4 linked regions of the Pelodiscus sinensis genome follow. The protein of the gene in region 4 purifies or fractionates together with the protein of the main gene of each other region. This does not show direct contact. Links are inferred from orthologs where the notes say so. Each region holds a gene or a part of one and is shown on either strand. Other genes may lie near its edges.

The links.
Region 1: the proteins of ANAPC13 (region 4) and CDC26 purify together in Homo sapiens (affinity purification with mass spectrometry; 4 studies listed by BioGRID and IntAct, counting the BioPlex papers as one, with this or other methods). This does not show direct contact. The link is inferred for Pelodiscus sinensis from reciprocal best matches to the Homo sapiens genes ANAPC13 and CDC26.
Region 2: the proteins of ANAPC13 (region 4) and ANAPC7 purify together in Homo sapiens (affinity purification with mass spectrometry; 3 studies listed by BioGRID and IntAct, counting the BioPlex papers as one, with this or other methods). This does not show direct contact. The link is inferred for Pelodiscus sinensis from reciprocal best matches to the Homo sapiens genes ANAPC13 and ANAPC7.
Region 3: the proteins of ANAPC13 (region 4) and ANAPC2 purify together in Homo sapiens (affinity purification with mass spectrometry; 3 studies listed by BioGRID and IntAct, counting the BioPlex papers as one, with this or other methods). This does not show direct contact. The link is inferred for Pelodiscus sinensis from reciprocal best matches to the Homo sapiens genes ANAPC13 and ANAPC2.

What each region holds. Positions count from the first base shown.
Region 1 is NC_134732.1:1,349,547-1,356,852, reverse strand, and holds CDC26 (anaphase-promoting complex subunit CDC26), read left to right. Parts: upstream 1-4,294; 5' UTR 4,295-4,358; coding exon 4,359-4,439; intron 4,440-6,423; coding exon 6,424-6,600; 3' UTR 6,601-6,876; downstream 6,877-7,306. Other genes in the region: PRPF4 (U4/U6 small nuclear ribonucleoprotein Prp4), read right to left, coding at 90-276, 1,141-1,318, 4,059-4,145. UniProt on the Homo sapiens protein: Component of the anaphase promoting complex/cyclosome (APC/C), a cell cycle-regulated E3 ubiquitin ligase that controls progression through mitosis and the G1 phase of the cell cycle.
Region 2 is NC_134725.1:32,240,311-32,247,818, reverse strand, and holds the start of ANAPC7 (anaphase-promoting complex subunit 7), read right to left. Parts: upstream 3,001-7,508; 5' UTR 2,950-3,000; coding exon 2,732-2,949; intron 1-2,731. UniProt on the Homo sapiens protein: Component of the anaphase promoting complex/cyclosome (APC/C), a cell cycle-regulated E3 ubiquitin ligase that controls progression through mitosis and the G1 phase of the cell cycle.
Region 3 is NC_134732.1:2,396,896-2,404,489, forward strand, and holds the start of ANAPC2 (anaphase-promoting complex subunit 2), read right to left. Parts: upstream 3,008-7,594; 5' UTR 2,971-3,007; coding exon 2,887-2,970; intron 1,522-2,886; coding exon 902-1,521; intron 1-901. Other genes in the region: microtubule nucleation factor SSNA1, read left to right, coding at 3,101-3,152, 6,425-6,624. UniProt on the Homo sapiens protein: Together with the RING-H2 protein ANAPC11, constitutes the catalytic component of the anaphase promoting complex/cyclosome (APC/C), a cell cycle-regulated E3 ubiquitin ligase that controls progression through mitosis and the G1 phase of the cell cycle.
Region 4 is NC_134720.1:1,061,037-1,068,421, reverse strand, and holds the start of ANAPC13 (anaphase-promoting complex subunit 13), read left to right. Parts: upstream 1-4,371; 5' UTR 4,372-4,503; exon of another isoform or gene 4,504-4,519; intron 4,520-4,720; exon of another isoform or gene 4,721-4,869; intron 4,870-4,902; exon of another isoform or gene 4,903-5,361; intron 5,362-5,778; 5' UTR 5,779-5,805; coding exon 5,806-5,904; intron 5,905-7,385. UniProt on the Homo sapiens protein: Component of the anaphase promoting complex/cyclosome (APC/C), a cell cycle-regulated E3 ubiquitin ligase that controls progression through mitosis and the G1 phase of the cell cycle.

The sequences.
Region 1 (7,306 bases), on a different chromosome or scaffold from region 4:
AATACTTGCTGCACTCAGCACCTCAAGGAATTTGACAGAAGATTTGAGTGGGATGGGGAATCAGCCACTCAAAGAGCTAGGCACAGCACCTTTCTCTGCGTTCTGCAGGCCCCTCTCCAAAGAGCGTGATGGGCTCTCCAAGAGCTCGTAGGCACGCCTTGACTTCAGAGTCATCGGTGGAAACATTGATCTGCCTGGCACGCTTCCTGCGCTCAAATTCAGCCAAAACTTCTGCCTGACGCTCACTTATGTGGTCTTCAAGATCAAAGACCTCACCTGCGCCAGAAACAGAGCCATGAGAATAGAGCAACAACAAATGTAATTAGAGCAGCAAGAGTTTAGCCAACTCTAGCCACTAACAGCTATCTGCAATTTAAAAACTATCCTCTCAACTGTTTCAGGCCAGGACATTCGAGCCACCAATGGCCATCTTCCCCCAGACACCCTGCTCAAAACGTAGGCTGTCAGGACTTGTAGACTCTGCAGCCCCAGCCTCTGTATTATAGTACAGCAGCTGGTTCAGCGCAGCACTCAGGCTTCTGGCAACTTGCCAGCAAGCCACAGGGCCTACAAATTCTGTTTGATTTCTGTGGATTTTTAAAAAGTTCATTCATTCTTCTCCAGCAATGGGGCCATGATCAGGACCAAAGACGGAATCGTGGAATTCCCTCTCCTCTATGTACTTGTTGGCACGGATTTCACAGCCCCTACATGCCTTTCAGCTGGGCAGAGTTTGTGCATCTACTGCTTTGGCCATTATTCAAACTTAATCAAAGATTCATCTTCTTTCTAAACAGCTCTAAGTCTCACACTTTTTCAGACAGCTGAGTCAGAGGATGGTACACAGATGATTACCCCTCTCACCCTACATCAGTTGGACTTGGTATACAGCAGGGTGAGGGGGAAAACCTGGCAACTGCCCCCCAACACAGACACAGACAAAATCAGGAGGCTTCCAATTAGGAGCAGCTTGATTCTCCTAAATGCCACTGCAGTTAGCTCTGCTCTGCAGCCCTAGAGCCAGGGAGAGCAGTCTTCCACATTAATGCTTTGATTCCATGAGTCTGTTTGTGTTCTTGTTAATGTGGATGTCACAGGGCCCTAAACAAGAAGAGAGTGTAACGCAGAGCGCACACTTACCACTGGTTATGTTAATATTGCCTGCCTCAATTGCAGCTCTCACTCTCTCTCTCCCCAGCAGTCCTGACTCTCCTTTGGCAAGACGCTCCCTCTCCTTCTCCTCCAAACTGCCATAGAAGATATGGGATCTCTTGGGTAGTGGAGCATCGCTGTCCTCCAACAGTTTGTTTTTTGTTCCCTGGAGAATGAAGGCAGGATTTCAAAAGACTCATTTGATATTTATTCAGATACAAAGCAGCAATTCAGCAATCTCCTCAGTTGCAGGAGACAGCATCCCCCAGTGAGAAATAGTTAACAAGGTCAGCCAGGCAAGAAGCCCTTACATTTTATATACAAGATTCATCTGGACAGCAAGACTATTCCTCACTGAAAATGTGTTAAAGTAGAATTAGAGGGCAGCAAGCCAAGGATGTTTTTAAAAATTGGACTTGTGATCTTTTCTGCTTCTTTATGATGTTACCAAATATGCTCTCAGGCTTTCTTTAGCCTTTTGCTCCCCTGCTAGGTTCTTCCTTTGGGGCTACACTTCAAAGTTAATTGAGATTAAGGTAGGATGCTGATTAAATCTGTGTGAATGCTCTTATTCTGGAATACCAATGACGCCTTGCTCCTCCGGATTCAGTTAAAGCATTACACCACATGTAATGCTCCAGAATTTGAGCATGCGCACAGAGATGTTCCTAAATAAGTCCATGTGGAAACAAACCCTGAGAATGTAGTCTGCCCTTCCCTGGCTTTGCTGGGGGACTTCTGGGTAGTATAAGGTATTTTGAACCAAGGAATTTCATTATTCAAAACATTAGTTAGCCTTCAAATCTAAATAGCTTTTATCAAAAGTAAACAGAAGAAAAATTTTAAAAAGTAATCCTTTCTCAATTTAAAAGCTCAAGCATCTCTGATCTTATGTCATAATTATGACAGTACAATTGCATAATTTCACAAGTTCTCCATCAGGGAGCCTTCTAACTTAGATACATCCTTAATTTCTCATGTAAAAAAACAAGCAGAAAAAACAAACTTTAAAAATCCATCCTTTTTAATCATTCTTTATCCATTGGACTACAGGCAGTCCCCGAGTTACGCGGATCCGACTTATGTCGGATCCGCAGTTACGAACGGGGCTTTTCTCGCCCCGGAGGACAGGACACCCAGATGCGCCGCGGTCCGCCGCCCCCGTCCTTTGGGGCGAGAAAAGCTGCTCCCTGTCTCCCTGGTCTGCAGGGAGACGGGGAGCAAAGCCTTAGAGCACACCCGCAGCGGGACACTTGAGCTGTCCCCCTGCGGGCGTGCTCCGCGGCTTTGCTCCCCGTCTCCTGACCAGCAGACCAGGGAGATGGGGAGCAAAGCCTCGGAGCACGCCCGCAGTGGGACAGCCGCGGCGCGCCTGGACTGTCCCGCTGCTCGCGTGCTCTGCAGCTTTGCTCCGCGTCTCCCAAGTCAGCAGGCCAGGGAGATGGAGCAAAGCCGTGGAGGACTTGGGTGGTCCAGCCACCCCCGTCTTACTGGTCTGCTGGAGGGGTGGGGGAGGTGCAGCTAGTGCCCCCCCCCCAGCAGACCAGGCTTTTCTTGCCTACCCCTGGGGTAGAGCAGCTGGGGGCTGCCGGGTTGGTCCCGCAGCGCCGCTCCGGACCAACCCGGCAGCAGCCCAGCTGCTCTGCCCCAGGCGTCCTGATTCAGCTGCTGCTGGTCAGTTTCAGCAGCGGCTGAATCAGGATGCCTGGGGCAGAGCAGCTGGGGTGCTGCTGGGTTGCTCCAGTAGCGCTGAGGAGCCGCGCTACTGGAGCAACCCAGCAGCACCCCAGCTGCTCTGCCTCAGGCATCCCCAAGTCAGCCGCTGCTGAAACTGACCAGAGGCTGACTACAGGAAGCCCGAGGCAGAGTTGCTCTGCCCCAGGCTTCCTGGAATCAGCCGCTGATCAGTTTCAGCAGCAGCTGACTTGGGGACGCCTGGGTTTCTTAAGATGAATCTGTATGTAAGTCAGAACTGGCGTCCAGATTCAGCCGCGGTTTAAACTGATCAGTTTCAGCAGCGGCTGACGCCAGTTCCGACTTACATACAGATTCAACTTAAGAACAAACCTACAGTCCCTATCTTGTACGTAACCCGGGGACTGCCTGTAGTGCATAAAGAACACAAACCAATTTGCAGATCACGATTAAGGCAGACAATGTTTTCAATAGAGTCCAGCTACTATGTGTAACAAAATTACACTCCTTACAAATAATTAAGACCTTCAAAAACAAAGATCTCAGACTACTGGGAAATGTAACTATGAACATGAAGGATTCAGCAAATTCCTTCCCCTCTATTATCCACCTCACTGACACCCTGACTGCCTCACTTTACTCCCCAATTTTTCCAAAATACACACAAAAGTCAAATCAACTAGTTACCACATTATAACATTCTATTCCCTAAATAAAGAATCCATTTCCAATGATCTCATAATACCTCTGGCATAACTGCACATATACATGCTTTTTTGTTTCTGCAATGAGAGTGCCCTCAATGGTCCCAATTATTTGACATTTCCCCCAGTTGGCGTGTGGCTCTCAATCCTTTGGTGGAACAAAACTCAAGACGGTATTTGAAAAAGTTAGTCCTACAGATGGGTCTGAATGGACTGTGCCGGGCATGTGCCCAGGAGGGCTGCCAAGCAGCGCGTACCCAGAGGCCTGAAAGGGTCCCGAGTAGCCCTTGCGCTCAAGGCTCAAGTAACCCCCAGGCACTGGACATTCGGAGCGAGCCCTGGCAGGAAGCGGGCCGGGCGAGGTAAGCGCGGGGCTCGCAGAGCAGGCGGCGGCGGCTCCTTTTCTTAAGAGAGAAGCCGCCACAAAGGCCAGGGCCGCCCGGTGCGGAGGGGGCGGGGGGGGCTGCTGCGCGGCGGAAGCGGCAGAGGAGGCCGAGCGGGCCCTACCCGCGGGGAGGGAGCCGGGCCCGGCTGGGGAGAAGGCGCCGCCCGCCCCGGGGCGCCGCGCAGGGCGGGAGGCCGCGAGGAAGCCATGTCAGTCCGGAGGGGCGAGAGCCCCGGGCCAGGCGTCACTTCCGCTTCCGGGTCCCGGGGAGGAGCGGGACGCTTGTGCTTCCGGGGGCAGGCCGGCGTTCCGGAAGGTGCGCGGGGCCTGACGGGAGGGGCCGGCGCGGGGCGCGGGAGCTGATCGGCGCGCTCCCCCCCTCCGCCCTGGTCGCGCCTCGCTGACCCCTCCGCCCCCCCGCGATGCTGCGCCGGAAGCCCACGCGCCTGGAGCTGAAGCTGGACGACATCGAGGAGTTCGAGAGCACCCGGAAGGAGCTGGAGGTGAGCGCCCCCCCCGGCCCGGCTCGGCCCCCCCAGCTCCCCCGGCCCGGCCCCCCCCCCCCGCTCGGCTCGGCCCCCCCCGGCGCCCCCCCGGCTCCCTCCGCCCGGCCCCCCCCCCCCGGCTCCCCCGGCCCCCCGCCCCCCCCCCCGGCCCGGCCCCCTTGGCGAGGCCCCGCTCTCCCGCACGCGCAGGCGGCCCCGAGGGGCGGGGGGGAGCGGCCGTGATGTCCCTGCGGGGCGATCGCTGCGCGAGCTCCAGGCCGCTCTGCACCGGCGGGCGCTTTCGCACAAGCGCATCCCTGGCAGCTGGGCGCTCTTGCGCAGGGAGCTCCCATGGCCGTTTTAGCCACAGGGCTTCTGCCGTTGCCTGTGGACACCGGCCTCTTGCGCAAGAGGGCTCGTCCCTCGAGGGGACAGGAGTAACTCGTCCGGAAGAAGCTGTTTTCCGACGCTGTGCTGTGAATTTACCTGCACAAGAACACGTGCGCAGTGCAGACAGCAGACAAGGTTTTGCGCACGAACAGTTGTTCTTGCACAAGAAACTGCCCGTGTAGACAGAGCCCATCTGTATACATGCACCAACCGCAGGGGTGGGCAAAAGAGCCTCCGCGGGAAGACTCCTCCCAGTGCCAGGGGCATGGGTGCCTCCGGGCTCCCCCACCCCCAGGCCAATCATGGTCTGAGGGTGGGGAAGCCCAGAAACATCCTGGCCCTGCCCCTTCAGTTGGAAGCCCCGCCCCTTCTGGAGTAGCCTGAGGCCACTTACAAAATGTTTTAAGTAGCCCCTAGCAAAAAATAGTTGCTCATCCCTGACCTACAGCTATTGGGGTCAAACACAGTATTTACATTGGCAGATGTAATGGCATATACAAAAGCTATGAGGCAGGAGAATGACATTGTAGTTCTCTGCCTCCCAGACACATCTGGAAACAAGGACTGAACTGAGGTGCAACAAGTTGAGCCCAGGCTAGAAGGGTGACTTTCTTTGAGTAGTAATACTTGAAGTTTTAAGCTGCAGGCTACTGTAACTGACTTTCAAGAATCTTTGCAATCTGCCCAAGATAACATTTAGGGTGAGACAGTACTATTTGTAGCCTGTGTCTTTAGTGCATCGAGTCTGTATATTTTACTTGCTCAGTAATCTTTGTTCTGTGTGCTGTCCTTTACATTCACTCTAAAATCTACCCTTTCTAGTCAGTAAACTTGATTTTATTTCTTGTGAAACGCAGTTTGTGAAATTGGTAAGAGGCTCTGCATGCCACATTGAGAGAGGGTAGATCCTCTTGGGTTTGCATTCCAAGGAAGGTGGGTACCTGAGTGATGAGGCAAATTCCTTGAGTCTTCCCACTGCTGAGCTCAGTGTCTGTGTTTTTCTGCAACTGGATGTGGCCCTGTGTGTGGGCGCAGGCTGGAGGAGGTTTAAGAGTCTGACTCAGCAAGACAGGATTAAAGGGTGCCCAGGCTGGCAGAATAGGTTGGGGCTTATTAGTATCCTACTACATCAGGGGGCAACCTATCACACACCCAACCTTCCTTCCGTCCCCCCATTTTGAGTTAGTTTCTCTAAACATCCTGAGCAGTTGAATTTCCGTCACAGTGGAGTATAAGACTTGGCTTGACTAAGTCCTTTAACTTGTTGTGCCCCTGTGTGACGGTAGCATCAGCTCTGTGAATTGGTAGCCGTTTGTGTCTATGTAGGTAGGGAGGTGTCTGAATGCCGTGACTTGTGTATTAACTCTTACAGAACAATGTATTTCCCTCCTTATGGCTATGCAAAATGCCCAGGGAATTTATTCAGTCTGTAAGCAGGTTTCCTGGAATGAAATCAGCTTATCTACCATTTTTCCTGCCTTCACAGTTTTGAGGTCAGTGGTCAGAACTGAAATGGATGTCTCGACACTGCTAAGATCCCTTTGATGGAAGAGCTCTAGTTTTCCATTGTCCTTATTTTTAGTTGATTGCTTTTTTTTTTTTTTTTTGGCAGAGTCGTAAGAAGCAGCGTGAAGAGGTGGATGGAGTGGGAGCCAACGAGGAAGAAGGAGCTATTGGTCTGAGCAATGACCATAAGAGCCGAGAACAAATGATAAATGACCGGATCGGTTACAAACCTCAACCCAAACCCAGCAACCGTTCCTCCCAGTTCGGAAGCTTTGAATTCTAGAGTTTAGGGGGCCTGCTACTTTGTGGGCAGCTGAGCATTGGACTCTGAGGTTGCGTTCCAGACTGTTCTGGCAAAGATGTTCAAAGGCTGTTTGCATAGCTCTAGAGCTGGCTGGGACTGGCCCGGATTTGCCAACGAGTCTCGGGCTTCAATAAGGGAAAGTGTTTGCCTCTTTCAAAGACTAGTGGGTGTGTTTTAACTTGACTGATTACTGCATTTCCAGAGATCTCTCTGCCCAGCCACTTTGTTTTAAATAAATATTTTTTTTAAATGAGATACTCAACATATCAGAAAATGCACATGGGGCTCCTAAAGGCAAACAGAAAATTTTTAACAGCAGATTGGCCTCCTGCATGGGACAAAAACAGGAGTCAACCATGGCCACTGCCTCATGGGGATTGGCACAGAGGCAAAGCTCTGCCTCCCTAGAGCAGTCCTTTCAGTGTTCTTGAAAGCCCAGCTCCAAATGGTGCAGTGTAATGGACTGGGCATTGGTATGTGAAAGACTTGGTTTCTCCCCACACTAGGGAGAGGCAGGGCAAGCTTCCCTAGACTCTGCAAGTTGTCAAGTGCTTGGCTCCTGCGGGTGTGCTGCAAGGAGCCAGTGGCAATGGCTGGTGCATGCATTGCTAATTTACTAAGAAATGAGCTAGACTTCAACTCATTTCAGTCATCACACCATAGCTGCTTTCGTACTGCCGTGCTG
Region 2 (7,508 bases), on a different chromosome or scaffold from region 4:
CAAGTGTAAATTAAGTTCACAACTCCCTTGTAAGAACTGGTCTCACAAAAGGCAGACCAGCACTATTTGGCATCACAGATAAGAAAGAGAAATACGTGACCCCATGGGTATAAAGATGGGTACAGTAGCACACTCACTTTTGAGTGTTAATCTACCCTCTACCTGCTGGTCGGGTTAGGTGTTTGACCTCCCGAGGTTCTATGGGGACGCCCACCTCATATTTTCGTCTTTCCTAGGAATTGAGGGACCGGCTCTGGCATGATACGCTGGAGCCGAGAGGCACAGAAGGGGGTAAAAATTGTACCTGGATGTGGTCCTCTGTCTTAAGTGTACACAGACTAAGAGCTCTTTAAAGGTTAAGCTGTTACTTGGTACTATTATTTTTGTTTTTCCTATCTTTATCTTCTTTGTAACCATTTTTAATATCTATATTTTGCTAGCAGTTAAGAAATAGAACAATAGCCATTGCAAACATATGATTTATAAGCTTCCTCAATAAACCTGTAACTGTTTAAGCTTTAACCTGACTCCTTCAGTTGCTGTAACAGAACCAGGCACAATTTAAAAGAACTTCAGCCGGTCTTAAGGGACAGATATAGGGAGAGCTTGGGCATTTGGATTTGTGTCACTCCCAGGTGGCAGATCCGTTGGGGCACTCCTCAGCCTCCCCTAGGCTGCCCGCTGCGAAGGAATCACAGATTCTAGCAGCTAAAATCTGAAGTGTAATAAGCTCTCCCTGCAAACATATTGGGGCGCTCATAAACCTCCAGGTTGCCCGCTGCAAGGGACCCCAGTCTCAGCAGTTGAAGTCTCGGGTGTATAGCACACACACACACACACCACTCACTGCCCTGACGGTCGGCTGACAGGCAGTCAAAAAAGCAAACAAAATGCTGAGCATCATTAAGAACAGATAGAAAAAGAGAGAAAAAAATCTTATTGCCTCTATAGAAATCCATTGTACACACACATCTTGAATACTGCATGAAGATGTGGTTGCCTCACTGCAAAAAAGATATATTGGAATTGGGAAAAAAAAGCAGGGCTATGGAACAGGTGTTTTATGAGGAGAGATTAATAAAACTGGGATTTTTCAGCTTGGAAAACAGACAGCTATAAGGGGATATGATTTGGGTCTATAAAATCATGACTAGTGTGGAAAAATTGAATGAGAAATTATTTATTCCTTCCCATAACACAAGAACTAGGGGTCACCTAATAAAATTAATAGGTAGCAAGTTTAAAACAAACAAAAGGAAGTATTTTTTTTCCACACAGTCAACCGAAGAAACTCCCTCCCAGAGGATGCTGTGAAGGTCAAGACTATAGCTTTGTCTACACTGGCACATTTTATCACCAAAAGCTGCCTTTTGGCAATGAAACAATGAGAGCATTTACACTACAATGTGAATTTTGTCACCCAGTTTTGGCAACAAAAAAACTTCAGCCTTGTAAGAGATTTTTGTCTCTTCCCTTCCCTCTATTGTCAACATAGAGTCAGTGTGGACACTGTGGTTTGTTTTGTTGAAATGGCTTTCACCAGTATCCCACAATGCCTGACCTGATAGCTCTGTTCAGGCTTTTGCGATCTTTGCTGCCTGCATGCATACATCCTTCCACTTTCAAAACTCTGGCAAGTATGTGACAGGTCAATGAGCTTCACCATTTGGGGAACAAATAAAGAACAAATCATTGGAGTGATTCTGTTCTGCCCTGGTAGAAACATGGCATCAGGCAGACTGCTGCTACAGGGCTGGAGAGACTGCTGAGCTGCTTTGATATTCCTCAGCACAGACAGATCACAGAGTTAGGTGGGAATCCCAAGAAGTGCATGGATAAACTCTGCCTTCCCAAAACACTACACCGGGGTGTGTGTGTGTGCGTGCTTACCCACATCACTTTGTTTGTTAGTTGACAGGATACTAGCAGCGTGGACATAGAATAGCGACAATGGGAGACAGAAAAATTAGTTTGATTGGTTTTCACTTTTGTCACCAAACCATCTCCGTGTAGACCTCGCCTATAACCATGAGTGGCTGGTGAAGCTGGTGCTGGGGGAGGCAGGCACCCCCTCTGCTGAAACCTGGGAAGCACTCCCCAGAGAAGGGGCAACAGGCCAAACGCTCCCCAGCTTCCCCGGAGCACTGGGGATGGGGGATAAGAGGGGCAGCACCGAATGCTTCTCAGCCTCCCTGAAGCACCAAGGAGAGGAAGAGAGGGAAGGGGAGCACCAGGAGGGCAGGTGTTGAAGGCAGCAACACTCCGCTCCGAGATAGTCTTGGGGTGGAGTGTGGGTGGACCAAGCTGGTAGCTTGCCTAAGCCACCGGATGCCTGTGCCTATAACAGAGTTTTTACAAAGCGCTAGATAGATTCCTGGAGAACAGGCGCATCAATGGCGATTAGACAGGCTGGGCAGGGAGAGTGTCCCTAGCCTCGGTCACAAGCTGGGAAGAGGCGACAGGGGAGGGCTCGTGTCACGACCCCTGTTTCTGTTCACTCCCTTTGGGGCACCTGGCACTGGCCACTGGGCGGGATGGGCCTTTGCTCCGACGCCGCCTTCTTAGCTGCAGCCCCCCAAGCCCGGTCCCGCTGGGCCCCACAAAGCACCCGCGAGACCCCGCCCCGTCCAGCACCCCCCACCCTGCCGCCTCCGCCTGGGGCAGCCCCAGGTCGCAGGGCCCCGAGAGGGGCCTTGCCTCAGCCCCGGCTCCGGCCCCCCGCGGCACTCACGGGTTGTTGCCGCTCATGGTGAGCAGCAGCCCGCTGAGGAGCCGCACGTTGGAGTGGAGCCCCGCAGCCGCCATCTCCCGCACATGCTCCACCACGCTCATCCCGAAGCGCGGGGAGGCGCAGGGGGCGCCGGCCGGGGACGGAAGCGACAGCAGCTCCTCAGCCCGCAGCGACTCCAAAATGGCGCCACAGAAGGGGCCTCGCACACAGGGGTCCATTGCGCTTCTTCCGGTCGCCCGACCTCGTGCCTCCGTTTAAAAACCTCTCCGCTGGGGCTCCCCCAGGTAAATCCAGACCAGGTGTAAGCTTCCACCCCGCCGCTGAACGGATAGGCATCAAAGCAATGACATTTTCCATCAGGCATAAAAGTAGACGCCCCAGGAGCCTGAGGCACTTTACGCATGCGCAGGTGGCTCTGACGGCGCCTCGTGTCGCGGGCTAGCTCGCGGCGGAGCCCTTGCGGGGACCTCCCTGTTCCCGGCACAGTGAGGGGACAGTGACGTCACAGTGAATGCGATACCTGCTCGCACGCGCGTCGTGTCTGGGCCCGCCTGCTTCTTGTCCCTTCCATAAAGGAAGCGCTGCCATTGAGCCAGCAGGGGGCACTGCATTGGGCCTGGCCCCCAGGGTAGTTCAATCGCCGACAGAGTCCCAGCAGCGCTGCGCTCTCGCCGGGGTAGGCGGCAAGTCTTGGGCACGTTCCCTGTAGTTTAAGCTTAGGCGCGCCCAGTAATGCAGGGTGGGGAGCTCGGGCCCAGGGGCTGGAAGTGGACTCTGGCTTGTCTGGATCTGGTTCCCAAGGCTCCCCCCCAGCGTTTGAGAACATGCACTGGCAGCAGTTAGGGTTGCCAGATGGCTGAAACAATAATACCGACCCCCCCACACACACACCAAAAAAAAAACTGGAAACATTTTGTTGAAGGAAAGAAAAGGGGGGGGAGAACCAAAGTTGTTGAGAAAAAAAAGGGGGGGGTTTCCAAGAACCTGGATCACTGCTAGGGGTTACCAGGGAGTCATTTAAAAATAAAACGCTTCATGGGGGGGGGGGGAGAAGTACCGGCCAGGAAGGGAGCAGTGCTGGCCTGGAAGGGGGGTCCTGGAAACAACTAATGGGGGTTGCAACGGGGCTGGCCGGAGGAGATGGGGGAGGAAGCAGGGGGGATAGGGCAAAACGGGCCTGGCCGAGGGATATTGGGGGAGGAGGGGTGGGAAGTGCAGCTGGGGCGGATTGGGGGCCATGAGGAAGGGGGGCAGGAAGCAGCTGGCGGGGGTGGGATGTAGCGGCTCTAGCCGGGGGAGATCAGGAAGAGGAACAGGCTGTGGGAAGCAGAGCTGGGGGCGGGGCGGGGGCTGCGGGGCTGGCCCGGAGGAAGGGGGAGCAGGAAGCACAGCTGGCGGGGGGTGGTACAGTGGCGCTGGCCGGGAGGAAGGGGGGCAGGAAGCAGAGCTGGCAAGGGGAGGGATGCAGCGGCGCTGGCTGCGGGAGATCAGAAAGAGGAATGGGCCAGTGGGAAGCAGAGCTGGGGGATGGTGCAGAGGGCTGGCCGGGGAAGTGAGGGAGAACCAGCCAGGAAGGGGTGAGCAAATTGGCTGGCAGGGAGCGGGACTGACCTGGGCACTTGCTGCCTGTCCCGTGCAGGCTTCCCCTCCTCCTCACACTCAACCAACTGAGGGCTCCTGGCAGCAATCATGGCCCCGCCTCCCATCCGCTCCCCCCACCCATGCCAGGCTTCCGTCTGGTGCGCAGCTGGAAAAATCAAAAAATACCAGACATTGCACATGTCCGGTATTTTCTGATTTTTTTTACCGGACAGAGCGCGCAAATACCGGACTGTCCAGTACAATACCAGACACCTGGCAACCCTAGCAGCAGCCCCTGACTGCAGGGGGTCTGAGCTCCCCATGGACAGAAGCTGTTCCACCTCTGTCTGAGGGGAGCTCAGTCCCACCTCAGGTCTCCTGCTGAGGACTAGCCTCTGTCCATGGCAGGCTCAAGTTTACTGCAGAGAGAGGCTGCTCCATGGGAGGCTGAACAGCATCTGCCCCCAGGGAGTTCAGACCCCAATCCCTGCTGCCCATGGACCAAGGTTGCTTTGTGGCAGCCTTTCCATCCTCACCGCTGCAGCAGCCTCTGTCCATGGGACCTCCTACAGACAGTAGCTGTTGCCACCCCTCACTGCTGCCTCTTTATCAGAGGCTGCAAAGCAGGCTGGTAGGCAGCTGGTCCATGTGGGGATCTGTTTTTTAACTCCTGCCTGGCACCCCATGCTAGTGCCTCTGATACAGAGGCAGCAGCGCGGGTGTTGGGGGGTCCCCAGGAGTGGGACCAAGAGCACACTGGATGCTGGCCTCTCCCCTGGGGACTATAAAATAGTTGATAACCAACAGGATTTCATGACTCAACTATTCAATTAACTGATATCTCGCACACTAGCTGATATACAACCAACCTGTGCAGTTCCTTGTTAGGGTGTTGTGAAGGCCAGGACTGTTCAAAAACAGAGCTAGATAAATTCATGTAGGATAGGTCCATCAATAGCGATTAGCCAGGATGGGCAGAGATGGTGTTTGTCAGAAACTGGGAATGGGTGACAAGGGCTGGATCACTTGATGATTACCTGTTTTGTTCATTCCCTTGGGGCACCTGGAACTGGCCACTGTCAGAAGACAATATACTCGACTAGATGGACCTTTGATCTGACCCAGTATGGCTGTTCTTATGTGATGTTGACTTCTACCCATCACCCATGTTAAACTTGGAGCAGCATGGTGACAGTTTTTTGGAGGTGGGGAATTTCTTGCAGCTCTCCCTGATGTGGGACATTATAGTAGAAATGCAGGCAGCTAGCCCAGATCCCCCATACTTTTGGGGGCCCTGTGGAGGTCACCTCAACCATCTTAGGGATGGGAGTGACCAGGGAATTATGGGGACCTAGCATGGCAGCAGCAGGGGTTGCTCCCTCACAACAGCAGGAGTTGGAGCAGCCCAACAGCCTACTCCACTCCATCTTGCCACCTTCTTGCAGCCCGCTGCTCCCCATAGCAGAAGGAAGCAGACACCTGTAGCCCCAGGGTGGTGAGTAGGGGGAAAGATGACCCCTGCTGCTGCACACCAGGACCCCATAATCCTCCTGGGCTATGCTGGTCAGGGGGCAAGGGCAGGGCAGAGATGGGAGATGTGACGGAGGGTGCTGCCTCGGGCCCTCTCAGGATGGCCCTACAGAGATGGAGGAAGAGGCAAGTGTACATTGAAGAGGGGAGGGGAGTTGAGAGACACACAACGGCTGTGTCTAGACTGCATCCCTTTTCCGTAAAAGGGATGCAAATTAGACACATCGCAATTGCAAATGAAGCAGGGATTTAAATCCCCTCCGCTTCATTTGCATAAACATGGCTGCCGCTTTTTTCCGGCTCGGAGCTTTGCCGGAAAAAAGCACCAGTCTAGACGCGGATCTTTCAGAAAACAAAGCCTTTTCCGAAAGATCCCTTATTCCTTATTTTAATAAGGGATCTTTCGGAAAAGGCTTTATTTTCCGAAAGATCCACGTCTAGACTGGCGCTTTTTTCCGGCAAAGCTCCGAGCCGGAAAAAAGCGGCAGACATGTTTAGCGGAGGGGATTTAAATCCCCGCTTCATTTGCAATTGCAATGTGTCTAATTTGCATCCCTTTTACGGAAAAGGGATGCAGTTTAGACACAGCCAATGTGTAGCTGTCATGTGAAATGTCCCTTTAACATCTATATCCTAAACACCTATATCACCAGTTACCTTAATGCAACTTTCTACACCTTGTTCCACCAGGTAATATTATAGGCACAATAATCCTAACATGTTACAGTTTTTACTCAGGCAAAAGTCTCATTAAAGGGACTATAGTCTGCACCAAACTTCAGGATCAGGCCTCATATATTTTTTATTTTGTTACCAATCAAGAGGAGTTACATTTTAATGCAAGACTGGCATTCTAGAGCAGAGAGGTAGCATGAACTGGTGCTTAAGGTAGTGGACTAGAATGCAGAGTGAAATCCTGGACTCATTCACTGGAGTCAGGATCTCTTTCAAGGGTGCTACTTCTTGCTCCACTACTGACTTCCTATGAAGGGCTGGCTCTAGGTTTTTTGCTGCCCCAAGCAAAAACATTTTTGCCCTCCCCCACCCAAAAAAAACACCGGGAAAAAATTCTGTTGAAGGAAAAAAAAAAGTGTGGGGGGGAGACCAAAGTTGTTGAACAACAACAACAAAAAAATAAAACAGCATGTCCCCTTTAAGAGTGAGTGCAGGAATAGGAACAAGAGAGCAGTTGAGCACTAAGTCTCCTTGGTCTTTTGGCCGGCAGCCATTTTGTGCCAGCAGCCTAGCGACTGCCGGGGAGGGGAGGAGTAGGAGAGGAGACGAGGTGGCCAGCAGGCTCCAGGTGCACATTGGTGCCAGCTGGCTGCACAGCCACGGCGTTTCCCAGGCCGCAGCCCTTTAAAATCAGCAGGGCAGGGCTAGGCGTTGCCAGGGGCAGCGCCAGCTGCTTACCTGAAATGCTGCCCCAAGTACCTGCCTGATTTGCTGGTGCCTAGAGCCGGCCCTGTTCCTATGTGACCTTGGACAAGTCACTTCTTTCTCCTCTTATTGGATAGGTGTCTGGTCTACTTAACACTTTACACTCTTTAGGCCAGAGAATTTTTCTGCACAGTGCCTAGTACAATGGAATCTCAGTCTCCATTGGGTCTCTAGGCACTACATATGTTTGAATGTACTGAGCCATCAATCAACAGATCTCATCTTT
Region 3 (7,594 bases), on a different chromosome or scaffold from region 4:
TAGAACACTCTCGGATTCTAAACAACAGACTACAGGATCGCGTGATATAGCCCAAGTCATATCAAATATCAAACTTCCAACGTAAAAAAACCTTCCAAACCAGGTTGCAAGGTGAAACTGCTGAACTGGAATTTATATGCAAATTTCATACCATCAGCATACCATAATCTCTCATTACAATCAGTAGTGTGGAGGCAGGAAAAGGGAGTAAGGGAGTTTGTGTGCAGCCATCTTGGTCTTGTTAGCAAGAGTCTGGGCAGAGGATCGGTGGGTAGGAGGGGTGCAGGCTCTTGGAGGGAGTTTGGATGCGGGAGGGGTTCAGGGTGCATGCTCTGGGAGGGAATGTGGATGAGGCCCGGATGCAGGCTCTGGCCTGGGGTGGGGGAGGAAGCCGCAGGAGGAGGCAGGCTCTGGGAGGCAGTTTGGAGCTTGGGGGCAGCACCAGGGTAAAGGGTGCCATGTTTACCTGGGAGGCACCACCCTCTGGCAGCAGCTCCTAGTGCACGGTGCTGCTCCCACTGCTCTTCCCGCCCCACCTGCCACTCACATGCCTTCCGCCCTGCGCATCCTTTGGTTCCTCCTGCTGCCCCTAGGTGAATTAACACACCCTGGAAGCCCCCATCAGCAGTGCAGCGGGGCTAGAGAGGCTTCCTGCCGCTCACTCTGCGTGGCTGCCAGCACCTCCGAGGGGCCTGGGAGGGTGGGGGGAGAAGAGTGGGTCTCTGTGCGCTGCTTGCAGTGGGGGCCCCCCCAAGGCATTTAAAATCACCCAGGGACAGCAGGCGGGGCTGGGGGGCAAGCATAGGGTGGCGGAACTCAGGGAGACCTGAGCCAGCAAACGCGAGGGGGAGGGGGGGAGCGCAGGCCCCTACAACTCGCCACCTTGCTGTAAGATACGCACAGGATTTCACTGAGCTGCTGGAACTGCTCCATGGCTGTGGGACACCAGCACTGCTCTCTCTTACTGCTGCAGCCCAGGCACTGCCGGCCGTCTCCTCCGTCCTCCGGATCGCTCTCTGGCTCGTTCTCACTCATGCTGCTCTCGCACGCCTTCACTCCGCCTTCACCCTTCTTCCCCTGGCGCATGTAAATCTTGAAGGTGCGGCTGTAGAACTGCTGGATCATCTCCTGGAACGTCTCGGTGGTGGTGAAGAAAAGGATGGCTTTGAACATGGTGTAGACTTTCTCTCGCAGCACCTGGGAGCCTGTTCCAAGGAGCAAGCCCATTCTGGTCCATTTTTCCAGAAGGTCCAAGCTGTTCAGATAAGGGTCGAGGCGGCACTTGAGCAGACAAAAGGCATCCAGGAGAAGCAAGGAGCACTGTGGCTCTTCCGCCGTGTTTTCATACTGGCCAATACAATTCCAGAATTCAGGAGCTATATTGGCCTGCAAGTCTGTCTGTAAAACTTCAGTGAACCATTCTTCCAGGACAGAGTGCAAGTCATAGCGCTGCAGCACTTCCACGGCCGCCTGCAAGTCACTGTCCTTCAGCAGCCCTGCTGAACCTGATCTGGGGCCTGCCTAAAGAGACACACCAAGTTAAACACAAGCCTGGGCACCTACAAATCACTGAGGCTGGGCTTTGCAAATCCACCTCAAAGAACAGCCAGCAGGCTATGGATGGAGCATGTCCCCCACTGGTATTTGGGTCACGTTTCAGGCGGCTGTAGGTTACCAACCACCTGCTGTTGGTGGAGAGGGTGGGGTCTCAATCCTGCTGATAGGAAGGTGTTCACATCATGAGCACCCACACCGTGACTGGCATCAACTGCTCCCCTTGCTGACAGCGGCCATGGGAGCTGTCAGGTGAGCAGCCTATTTATTGAAGAGCTCAAAGCCACAATGCCAGCCATTCAGTGCACAGAAGTTTCCATAATTTGCTCCCTCTAAACCAGCGAAAATACAGTGGCTCGGAACAGGCAGATTCAATTTGGAAACAATATGCATTTTCCTAGAAAATGTTAAGTGAATGAGCTTCCAAATTAGAACATTCTAAGAATAGGGGTGGCCCTGAATCCCTGCGGGGATCCCAAGGCTCCTCTCTTGCGACCATCTTTGACTTGGCAAGAACAAAAGCTAAGGCAATTCCCACACACCAGGGTGAGAATGCACTTAAAGGTGCGGGCAGACATCCATTCCTCTGGTTTGCGACCTTGCAAGAGCAATTGGATAGAAACAACATTGAGACCCCCAGGAAGTTCAGCCTTAAGTCTGCACTCAGAAGAGGTGCAAAGGCACCACCTTAAATCTGCTGCCCAAGTGATGCCCTAACAAAACTAGAAAATCGAGCTGCCTTATCTGCAACCAACACCCTCTCCGGGGCCCACCCGAACTGAACTGTCCTACGCACTTAGGGGTTCTCAGGACAAAAACGGGGCGGGGGGGTTGGGGGAAATGGCTGGGATCCGGGGTGGGGGGCACGGCTAGGCCTGTCTGCAGGGTGGGGGGCTGTCTGGGGCTGATTAGGAGGCCTGGAGGGAGGCTCCATCTGGGGGGGGGCTAAGGGGGCCTGCATGGGGGGGGCTGTGTGGGAGGAGGGGCTGCATGGGGGGGCCGTTTGGGGGGGCTGCATGGGGGGGCCGTGTGGGAGGAGGGGCTGCATAGGGGGTCCGTCAGGGGGAGAGACGGGGGTCTACATGGGGGGGCCGTGTGGGGAGGTCATCGGGGGGGAGACAGGGGGGTCCGAGGGGGGCTGCATGGGGGGTCCGTCGGGGGGGGAGACAGGGGTCTACATGGGGGAGCCGTCTGGGCGGGTATACATGGGGGGGGCCGTTTTGGGGGGCTGCATGGGGGGGGCCGTTTTGGGGGGGGCCGTCGGGGGGCGAGACGGGGGGGTCTACATGGGGGGTCCGAGGGGGGGCCTGCGGGGGGGCCGCTCTCACTCACCAGCCCCAGCGCGGCGGGCGGCACCAGGCCGGTGCTCAGCGCGTGCCAGGCCGCCGACAGCTCCGGGCCCGGCCCCGCCGCCATCCGGCCCGCGCGCCAGGGGCACGTGAGGCGGGGGCGGGGCGAGCGGGCGGGGGCGGAGCCGGGCGAGGGGCGGGGCGAGCGGGGCGGTTGGGGCGGGGCGGGGCGCGCGCCGGGCCGGGTTCGGGCCGCCATGACTCAGCAGGGGGCGGCGCTGCAGAGCTACAACAACGAGCTGGTCAAGTGTGAGCGGGGGGGGACCCGCGGGGGGGAGGGTGCGGGGGGGGCCGGCGGCCAGCCCCCCCCCCCAGCCCCGTGCGCTGCTCCCCGCCCTCTGTGCGCTGCGCCCCCCATGCACCCTGGCCCCCCCCGTCTGTTCTGTGCGCCGCCCCCATGCACCCCGCGCCCCCGTCTGCTCTGTGCGCCGCCCTCATGCACCCTGCCCCCCCGTGCGCCGCCCTCATGCACCCTGCCCCCCCGTGCGCTGCCCTCATGCACCCTGCCCCCCCGTGCGCCGCCCCCATGCACCCCCCGTCTGCTCTGTGCGCTGCCCCCATGCACCCTGCCCCCCCGTGCGCTGCCCTCATGCACCCTGCCCCCCCGTGCGCCGCCCCCATGCACCCCCCGTCTGCTCTGTGCGCCGCCCCCATGCAACCTGCCCCCCCGTGCGCCGCCCCCATGCACCCCCCGTCTGCTCTGTGCGCTGCCCTCCATGCACCCTGCCCCCCCGTGCGCCGCCCCCATGCACCCCGCGCCCCCCGTCTGCTCTGTGCGCCGCCCCCATGCACCCCGCGCCCCCCGTCTGCTCTGTGCGCCGCCCCCATGCACCCCGCGCCCCCCGTCTGCTCTGTGCGCCGCCCCCATGCACCCTGCCCCCCCGTGCGCCGCCCCCATGCACCCCCCGTCTGCTCTGTGCGCTGCCCTCCATGCACCCTGCCCCCCCGTGCGCCGCCCCCATGCACCCCGCGCCCCCCGTCTGCTCTGTGCGCTGCCCCCATGCACCCTGCCCCCCCGTGCGCCGCCCCCCTGCACCCTGCCCCCCCCGTGCGCCGCCCCCCATGCACCCCGCGCCCCCCGTCTGCTCTGTGCGCCGCCCCCATGCACCCCGCGCCCCCCGTCTGCTCTGTGCGCCGCCCCATGCACCCTGCCCCCCCGTGCGCCGCCCCCATGCACCCCGCGTCTGCTCTGTGCGCTGCCCCCATGCACCCTGCCCCCCCGTGCGCTGCCCTCATGCACCCTGCCCCCCCGTGCGCCGCCCCCATGCACCCCCCGTCTGCTCTGTGCGCCGCCCTCATGCACCCTGCCCCCCCGTGCGCCGCCCCCATGCACCCCCCGTCTGCTCTGTGCGCTGCCCCCATGCACCCTGCCCCCCCGTGCGCTGCCCTCATGCACCCTGCCCCCCCGTGCGCCGCCCCCATGCACCCCCCGTCTGCTCTGTGCGCTGCCCCCATGCACCCTGCCCCCCCGTGCGCTGCCCTCATGCACCCTGCCCCCCAGTGCGCCGCCCCCATGCACCCCCCGTCTGCTCTGTGCGCCGCCCCCATGCACCCTGCCCCCCCGTGCGCCGCCCCCATGCACCCCCCGTCTGCTCTGTGCGCCGCCCCCATGCACCCCCCGTCTGCTCTGTGCGCCGCCCCCATGCAACCTGCCCCCCCGTGCGCCGCCCCCATGCACCCCCCGTCTGCTCTGTGCGCTGCCCTCCATGCACCCTGCCCCCCCGTGCGCCGCCCCCATGCACCCCGCGCCCCCCGTCTGCTCTGTGCGCCGCCCCCATGCACCCCGCGCCCCCCGTCTGCTCTGTGCGCCGCCCCCATGCACCCCGCGCCCCCCGTCTGCTCTGTGCGCCGCCCCCATGCACCCTGCCCCCCCGTGCGCCGCCCCCATGCACCCCCCGTCTGCTCTGTGCGCTGCCCTCCATGCACCCTGCCCCCCCGTGCGCCGCCCCCATGCACCCCGCGCCCCCCGTCTGCTCTGTGCGCTGCCCCCATGCACCCTGCCCCCCCGTGCGCCGCCCCCCTGCACCCTGCCCCCCCCGTGCGCCGCCCCCCATGCACCCCGCGCCCCCCGTCTGCTCTGTGCGCCGCCCCCATGCACCCCGCGCCCCCCGTCTGCTCTGTGCGCCGCCCCATGCACCCTGCCCCCCCGTGCGCCGCCCCCATGCACCCCGCGTCTGCTCTGTGCGCTGCCCTCCATGCACCCTGCCCCCCCGTGCGCCGCCCCCATGCACCCCGCGCCCCCCGTCTGCTCTGTGCGCTGCCCCCATGCACCCTGCCCCCCCAGTGCGCCGCCCCCCATGCACCCCGCGCCCCCCGTCTGCTCTGTGCGCCGCCCCCATGCACCCTGCCCCCCCGTGCGCCGCCCCCATGCACCCCCCGTCTGCTCTGTGCGCCGCCCCCATGCACCCTGCCCCCCCGTGCGCCGCCCCCATGCACCCCCCGTCTGCTCTGTGCGCTGCCCTCCATGCACCCTGCCCCCCCGTGCGCCGCCCCCATGCACCCCGCGCCCCCCGTCTGCTCTGTGGGCTGCCCCCATGCACCCTGCCCCCCCGTGCGCCGCCCCCATGCACCCCGCGCCCCCCGTCTGCTCTGTGCGCTGCCCCCATGCACCCTGCCCCCCCGTGCGCCGCCCCCATGCACCCCCCGTCTGCTCTGTGCGCTGCCCTCCATGCACCCTGCCCCCCCGTGCGCCGCCCCCATGCACCCCGCGCCCCCCGTCTGCTCTGTGCGCTGCCCCCATGCACCCTGCCCCCCCGTGCGCCGCCCCCATGCACCCTGCCCCCCCGTCTGCTCTGTACGCTGCCCCCCATGCACCCTGCCCCCCCGTGCGCTGCCCCCCATGCACCCTACCCCCCGTCTGCTCTGTGCGCTGCCCCCATGCACCCTACCCCCCCGTGCGCTGCCCCCCATGCACCCTGCCCCCCATCTGCTCTGTGCGCTGCCCCCCATGCACCCCGCGCCTGCTCTGTGCGCTGCCCCCCATGCACCTGCCCCCCGTGCGCTGCCCCCCATGCACCCTACCCCCCCGTGCGCTGCCCCCATGCACCCCGCGCCTCCCGCCTGCTCTGTGCGCTGCCCCCCATGCACCTGCCCCCCGTGCGCTGTCCCCCATGCACCCTGCACCCCCCATGCGCTGCACCCCACGCCCCCGTCTGCTCTGTGCGCTGCCCCCCCATGCACTCTGCCCCCCCGTGCGCCTCCCCCCATGCACCCCGCGCCCCTCGTCTGCTCTGTGCACTGCCCCCATGCATCCTGCCCCCCTCTGTGCGCTGCCCCCATGCACCCTGCACCCCCCCTCTGCTCTGTGCACTGCCCCCCTATGCACCCTGTGCCCGCTCTGTGCACTGCATCCCCTCCCTCCCCATACTCCCCCACACTCTCTGCACTGGCCAGGTGGGCCCCACCTCCCCGTGCAGGGAGGCCATGCAGGTGCCTCAGGACATGTCTCGCCTGCGTGCGTGCTAGAGGGATGGGCCCTGAGCCCCTGGCCACAGTTGGCCCTGACTCGCCTCCTGCCCCAGGTATCGAGGAGCTGTGCACCAAGCGGGATGAGCTGAGCCAGCAGATCCAGCACGAGGAGGAGGAGAAGAGCAAGCTGCAAAACGACATCCGGCTCCTGACCGAGAAGCTGGCCCGCGTCAACGAGAGCCTGGCTCGCAAGATGGCCACCCGCAACGAGTTTGAGAAAACCATCGTCGAGACTGAGGCCGCCTACACGAAGGTATCTGGCCGCCGGGGGCTGGATTTCTCCAAGGCAGCTGCCCGATGCGTGGGGGGTTGGGTGGTACTGCCGAAGAGGCATGGCGTCTCTCCAGTTAGCAAGGCCTCGTGTAGAACCAGCTCTGAACTGCAATCAAAAGGCCAGGGAAAGCAGGGCTTTGTGGTGTGGCTGAACCAGAACTAGGTTCAACTCACTCGGCCAAAATCCTGTGGTCATTTACAAAAGTGAGTTGAAAGGTGCCACTGCACGTGGGGGCTGCCTTCCTGGGTATGGCACTTCCCACCCTGGGGAGCACTTAGCTAAGGCCTTTCCACAGCTCTCCCAAAAAGGGTACTGCTGTGAGAAAACCACACCAGGCACTGCACATGGGACCTCCAGCCCCTACCACGGCCCTCTGCCACTTGGCTGCGTTGCGGGGGGACATTGGGAACTGGGATTCTTGGCCTCTCCTCCTGGTTCTGGAAGAGCACTAGGGCCTAGTGGTTAGAATGACTGCTAGAGACAGGGTAAGCAAGCAGGGGCTTGGCACATTCGTTTCAGAAGGCAGTTTGGGTGAGGCTTAGGGGTTCGAGTTGGTGGTTTTGATTCCAGCTCCACCCAAAGTGCCCTTGTGCAACCTCAGATTTCTTTCTTCTCTGTAAAATTGCAGTTCTTTGAGAGCCTCCTGCATTGCCTTGTAGACTCTCAGCTCCAATCCCAGTGCATCATCTCTCTTCTTCCGGTCCGTCACCGCCCACTGGCATTCCGTTCATGGCACACAGTGCCTTAGCAAAGCCTGGGCCTAGCACAGCCTCATGGCCCCAGGGAGGACTGGCTGCCCTCTCCTACAAGACAGAATCTTGGGGGGGGGGGGAGTAAGATGCAGTGATCTCCCCAGGGAACACTTCAGAGCAGGGGCAAGGCTCTGTGGTTGTGTTGTATGGGAAGTGTCGCCTTTGCTGCTGCAGTGCTTGAGTTTTGCCAGCACACG
Region 4 (7,385 bases):
ACATCAGCCACCAAAATGGAGGCTCATTTAACTGTATATCCACTAATGTAATCTATGCCAGCAATGCCCCACTGCAATGTATACTGGCCAAACTGGACAGTCTCCATGGGAAAGAATTAATGGACACAAATCAGATATCCGAAAAGGCAATACACAAAAACCTGCTGGAGAACACTTTAATCTGCCTGGACATTCATTAATGGATCTCCAAGTCATCCTTTTGTTTCAGGCCAATTCCACAAGCCAAATACACAGGGAAGGGCTGGAACTTAACTTCATTCACAAGTTTAATTCTTATGCAAATAGTCTGAACAGGTTGGCTTGCACACTATCTTCCACATCCTAATGACTTAACCAACTAAACAATGGAGGTGCTAATTGTTCTTATCAGTCTCTTGTAACTATTTGAACCATCTACTCACTGTCTCTCTCTTTTTTCCCCCCTCCCCTCCTTTTCTCCCCTCTTCCCCCTTCTCCTATTTATTCTTGGATCTGGACTTCTAAAACTCCTGTCATCTGAAGAAGTGGGTTGTGCCCATGAAAGCTCATGATACCATCTACATATTTTGTTAGTCTTTAAGGTGCTACCAGACTATTTGTTGTTTAAGTTTTAAAAACCCCACAGTTATTGTGGCATAAGAGGGCCCCACCGAGTTTTTCTAGCATATTGGGAGAGCCTCAAAAAGAAAATAGCGAGAACTCCAGCCCTAGCGCACCCCCTTGAGGCTTTGAAGTGAAGAGAGAAACCAACTTACAAGCATTACTAGAGAGCTTACTAGTACATCAGTTTTCTCCCCATATCAAAGCCTCAAGTCACTGCTCCTCCAGCTTCATTAACACAGGCCCAGGCAAACATCTGCTATAGCCAAGCTCTGCCCCACTCCCTCACTTCTCATTATTAATCACTCGCAATCCACATCCATCCTCCTACCTTACACTCTAAGCTGCAGACTCCCCTACACCCAGCTCCTCAAAATACCAGAGCTCAGATCATACAGGCTCAAACCAATTTTTTAAGTGACAACTTAAAGTCTGGAGAGCAATTCCACAGAAGAGTGGTTTCATCAATTCCACCTACTCTGACCTCCAGTATAACACAGAGCAGAAAACTACCCCTGAAATAAATCGGAGATTCTGAAGTCACACCTGAGGCCCTGACTTACAACCAGTAGCCATCAAGGTTGCTGTTGGTTCAAAATATGTCAGGTGGCCTCCCTTTCATTCGTCACTTGCATCAGCTTGCAAAATCCATTACTTTTTCTCTTTGACATCAATGGAAAATACACAATTCTTACAAACAAAACAGAAAATGCCAACTCTTCAGACCCCATAAGTAAGAAGTTCCTAACAAAACAACTAGGGTGCGTCTAGACTGGCAAGATTTTGCGCAAAAGCAATTGCTTTTGCGCAAAAACAATTGCTTTTGCGCAAAAACTTGCCAGATGTCTACACTGGCCGCTTGAATTTGCGCAAGAGCACTGACTTTGTAATGTACAAAATCAGTGTTTCTTGCGCAAATACTTTCACGCTCCCGCTCGGGAAAAAGCCCTCTTGCGCAAAAATACTTGTGCAAGACGGCCAGTGTAGACAGGGAAGAACTGTTTTACGCAAAAAAGCCCCGATGGCTAAAATGGCGATCGGGGCTTACTTGCACAAAATCGCGTCTAGACTGACAACGGATGCTTTTGCACAAAAACACTTTTTGCGCAAAAGCATCCGTGCCAATCTAGACGCACTTTTGCGGAAATACTTTTATCAGAAAAACTTTTCTGTTAAAAGTATTTCCGCAAAATCATGCCAGTCTAGACGCAGCCCTAGTTTTTCAATGACAGATAGAAAAGAGCCTTCAAGCATCTTTCCCTCCTCTACCCCCCATCTCCTGAAGTGGTCCTGGATTTGTGCTTAGAAAAGTGTATTGATGCTGAAAGCATTTGTATTGACCTGCCACAGGTGTTTCTAGCTTTGAAAGGTAACGAGCTACTGGACCTTATAATTACATCACTGTATCATATTGCTTGTTTTTTTCTTTTCTGACACTTGATATGGTTCTAGTAGCAGACATTTTACAAAACTACAGAGTGCACTTCCAAGCTTGCAGAAGGCATAAAGCTAAAAATTAATGCTTTAACAATACAAGACGACAGCTGCTAAAGCAGCGTCAGATATTAAGCATTCAATAAAATGCTTAAGTATAACCCCAACTGTAAGTGCAAGAAGCATCGCTGAAGTGAATTTTAGGCTTGAGTACACAGGATGATATTCAGAATAATGGAATGTGTCCGTGTACACTAAGGATGTTAAATAATGATTAATTTACTAGTTGAGTAGTCGACGGAATTTCCATCAACTACTCGATAGGCACTTCTGCATTCCTCCTTTGAAAGTTTTACCACTGAAAAGAGGGAGGGTGTCTCCCAACTTTCCAAGGCCATAAAATAGACTTCATTTCTAGATCTCCTGAAGTGCAAGACATCGGACCTTACAATGGCAATTATTAAAGCAGGTTCTGAAATGTGCCCTGAAATAGGGATGTCAACATGTAGCCGAATACATGATTAATCGATAAACCTCTGCTGTATCAAAGGCAGCAGCGCAAGGCAACAGGTGGGAGCTGATCTGCATCGAGAGCCAATTTTTAAATCGGCTCCCCTCACAGACCAGCTCCCGCCTGCCACCCCATGCTGCTGCCTCCGATAGAGAAGGAACAGCGTGGGGCAGCAGGAGGGCGCCCCGTGAGTGGGGCCGGAGCACACTGGCTGCTGACCCTGCCCCCGGGGACAATCAAATAGTTGTGTAACTACTAAAATTTGATGCAGTTACACGACTAATCAATTAATCACTATCTAACATCCGTACCCCTAAAGTCAGCTAACTGGGCCAAGCATGGAGGAACCCACAGCCTCTCCACTGAGAATGCTCAGCCCCCTAGTATCCAAAATTAACAAAACCAAGCTCAGCCCCCTAGTATCCAAAATTAACAAAACCAAGCTCAACTTTTAAGTCAAACCCAAGGCAGAAAGTAAGTCTTTAAAAGTCCCAGATACTACTGGGATATTGAACTGTTACTCTGAAACACTGCCTGCACTGAGCCTTCCTGAACCAGTGCTGAAAATGACTTAAGTGCTACTGTTGCACAACTTAGTGCACTATGGAGTTTTGCATCTGGTATCAGGCACTGTCAGAGACCAGACTAGATGGAAGATGGACTGAAAAGGTGTCTCTACCAGTAAGGGAACTTCCCAGGTTCTTGGGGGGTTTGTCCATAGTCTGAACACAACATTCTTTTCCTACCAATTCAGTTTTTGTTCATAATTTGGGGCCCACAGAAATACCTGCAGTTCCAGGGTGACAAGGGCACCCAAAGCACAGTTTATAGACTTACTCATCAACACGTTTTGTGATAAAGGTGCAAATTCCAGTCCTAAGGTGTTGAAACATGTGCCTTCCCCACATCCCTGCAGTGAAGATACAGCCCCAGTGGGGTGGGGGCACAGAGCCTTGCATGAACAGCCACAGCCAGACTCCAGGCTACAGTCACCTCATCACACAGACTCACAGCCAGGTAAAGTCAGACATTGACCCAGTGTGACCCAGCCCCACAGGAACTGTCACGGGCTCACAGACGGACAAAAGGCTACAGTCCCCTCGTCACCCAGGAACAGTCAGACAAGGCCAGCCACAGTCAGACCCCCATCTACAGTCACCTCACCAGGCAGACAGACAGACAGACAGCAATAATATCAGGGATGGTCTAGACAGTACTGGGTCCTGCCATGAGGGCAGGGGACTGGACTCGATGACTCTCGAGGTCCCTTCCAGCCCTAGTATTCTATGATTCTATAAACAGCACCGCACAGGCGGGCAGCAGGCGACAGCCCCTTGTCTGCCAGGGACAGTCAGACACGGCGGCCAACCCCCGGCTACAGACACCTCGCCACACAGAAAGAGTGAGAGCTTCACAGCAGGGTACAGTCTGACCCAGCCCCACAGGAACAGCCACGGGCTCACAGACAGACAAAAGGCTACAGTCCCCTGGTCACCCAGGGACAGTCAGACACGGCGGCCAACCCCCGGCTACAGTCACCTCGCCACACAGAAAGGGCGAGAGCTTCACAGCAGGGTACAGTCTGACCCAGCCCCACAGGAACAGCCACGGGCTCACAGCCGGACAAAAAGCTACAGCCACCCAGGGACAGTCAGACAAGGCCAACAACAGTCAGAGCCCCGCCTCCAGTCACCTCAGCAGACAGCCAGCGCCGCACAGGCGACAGCCCCTTGTCCGCCAGGCACAGTCAGACAGGGTGAGGGTGAGCGCCTCACGGCGGGCACAGTCCGACCCAGGACACGCCCCCGCCGAGCCGTTACCTCCGGGCCGGCCTCTCTCTCCTCGGCGGACTCGCGCCGCCGCCTCTCTATGGTTGGCGCGGCCTAGAGTCGCCGGTCACGTGGTCCGCTGCTAGGGCCGCGGGGCGGGACGGGGCTGGCGCGCGCGCCGGGTGTCAGGTGCGGGGCTAGGCCCAGAGGCGGGAGGGGCCGGCCCGCGCGGTGGGGGGGGAAGGGCTGCCCCCGCCCCGGCCCCCTGCTGGGGCCCCTCAGCCCCGCGCGGGGGGGCTGCTCCCCGGGCCCGGAGGCGGGTGGGGGAGGGGACGCTGTGCCGGGTTGCTACTGCGCATGCCCGGCGGGGCGGAGCCTGGCGGGCGGTGCCCCGCCCCTGGGCGGGGCGTCTCCATGGCGACCGGGTAGCTGCGCAGCGCTGGTGCGGGGGGTGCGCTGGAGATGCTCTGAGGGGTCACTGCGGGGGGTGCCCTGGGCGCAGGAGCACAGCCGGCCTTCGCCTGTGTGGGGCCGACACCGCCGGGGACACAACAGGTGTTTGCGGTGGGGCCGGGCCGTGGCCCGTCACCCGTGGGAGGCGATGTCAGCCCCTTTCTGAACAGGCAGGGAAACAATCGGCCACAGGTCTGAGAGAGTCTGTCTGTTTCTACAGCGTGAGAGCGAGGGCCAGCGAAGCCAGGACGCCGCTTCCACTGAGCACAGCTTAAAGCAAGGGCAGGGGCGGGTTGTGCAGGACAATGGGATGCGCCTGGAATGGGATTGACTCTCATACCACCGTACTGAGAAGAGAGAGAATCACCAGGCAGGTCCCAGCCCTACCCCGCAGACACCTGTTAGGGAGGGCAAGGGGAGGCGCATCTTCCCCCAGATTAATACGAGGACATTGCTGGCTCCCTTTGGGGAGCACGGGGAAAGTGCACAGTGTGCTGCATTCCTCCCTCTGGCTGGGGAGGACGGGGCAGACGAGCTGTGCACTTTGCTCTCGTTCTCTGGCAGGGACAAGAAGAGGAAGAGCAAGTGACCCTGGTACAAAACTCAAGGAGCTTCAGCCTCTTTGCTTACCCCGCTACACACACACACACACCACAGTCCCCTGGCCAGATCCCCTCCCTACCCTCCCACTCTGACTCTTACCCACCCCACTTTCCCAGTTCCCTGCCCTGAACACCTTAGGAACCTGAGCAAAGCCACGTACATGTGCTAGTTTGTTGCATGGACAAAAACTGAATTGGTAGGAAAAGAAACATGTTCATGCGTCTCATAGGGCAATACAAACAATGGAGGGTATTAATAACTATGAAAAACAACTGTGCCATGCCCTACTGACTGTAAAACAGCCATTAAGCTATTTAAGAAAGGAGTCATGGCCAGGGCAAGCATAGAATCTAAGCTCCATCTTTTTGGGTTCTAGATATCAAGGATAATTTCTGCTTTATGTCGCAGATCTATCTGCATGTAAATTGTGCAAAGATGGACAGTGAAGTGCAGAGGGATGGAAGAATCCTGGATTTGATCGATGATGCATGGAGAGAAGATAAATTACCATACGAGGATGTAGCAATACCTTTGGTAGGTGAACACAGTAAGCTGCTTATAAGCCTATATTATGTGTCTACCCCCTTTAACCTCCTAACAGAGGCATGGCATAGGAAATGTGCCTTACAGTTCTGACAGTTGTATGAATGATGCTCCCTCACTCCAGGGGCCAGCTTCCCATTTATTTTATGCGGGGTGGTGGATTTCTTCCAGCTCTGCATATCTCCGGCTTGGTGGAGGAATAAGTGCTTCTCTCCCTGCAGCTGACTGCCTCGCTTTGGAAGGAGAAAATGCTTTCCCATAATCTAGGCGAGCTACCTGTTTCTTTGGAGGGTGGAATGTTTCTTTCTATCCTCCCCTCATACTCCTAGTACCACCAGTCTGTGAGGAGCGGGTTCCAGGACTAACCTCTTCCTCAGCTTTTTCAAGTGCTATGCTGCTGGCCCGAGTGGAGAGGGGAGGACCCAAAGACTTCCCCTTCACTTATATACTTCCAGTACTGCTAGCCAAGAGTGAAGAAGGGAAAACTCCTAGGTCCACTTAGCAACTATCTTTGATCTGTCACAGATTACTTGATAGCACACCCGGATCTTCACAGCCCCTTGTCTCTAGGCATAGATACAGCCTTGTTATTAACGGAAACGTCTCATTTAAGCCTGATAAATCTTGAGATTTTCTCCTTAATTAACTGGATAAAGCCCTTCCTCGTCCACTCTATTTTGACAGGCTGCCTTTCATGTTGAGACACTTCTCAGCCAGCCATGATTTTTGCTCACGGAGTGTATGTACTTCAGGCTTTTGTACCTGCATCACCTTTTGCAAAGATCCCTTCTTAGAGTAGTGATGGACTTCCAAATTGTAGGCCACTCATCCTGCTAGATTTCTTCCCTCCCACGTTTGCATACTCAAAACCTTCAAGCCTCTCTTTATTCTTACATTAGACAAAGTTTGTGAGAAGATTACTTGAAGGGAATTAGTCTCCTATCACAGACATATGCATAGCAACTCACTATCTTCACTTAGCCTCTGCAGGTGTACTCCAGCGTTAGGGAATGATCCGATCTCCACCGTGCGGAACTGTGGTTCTCTTTTTAAGTTCTGGAAGCCCAAACTCTCCTACCTGTTGGAGTTTATTGGGATGTGCCTCGTTAAGCTGGCTGAATACAGAAACCTCTTCAGTGCTGGTACTTGTTTCATCTTATGGTCAATTAACTAGATAGCGTCACTCCTTTTTGGGTAGTGGGTGGAGGGAGGAACTATGTAACTACTCTTGGAGACTGAGGCGCATGCCCAGAGTGGAGGAAGAGTTCCTTACAGCATACTTCTGAGGTTTCCTGGGCTTGCCCTGCAGATGCTCATACTAACAGTAGAAAAGGCCTGAGTGTGGACCTAAAGACCCCATGAGACCTGAGCCATTGACATAGGATTGGCTGTTGGCAAGCTAAAAACCAGAATGGCAGCTTTGGGATATTCCTTCATTCCCAAGTCAAGAAGGAGCTGACTAAAAAGTGGGT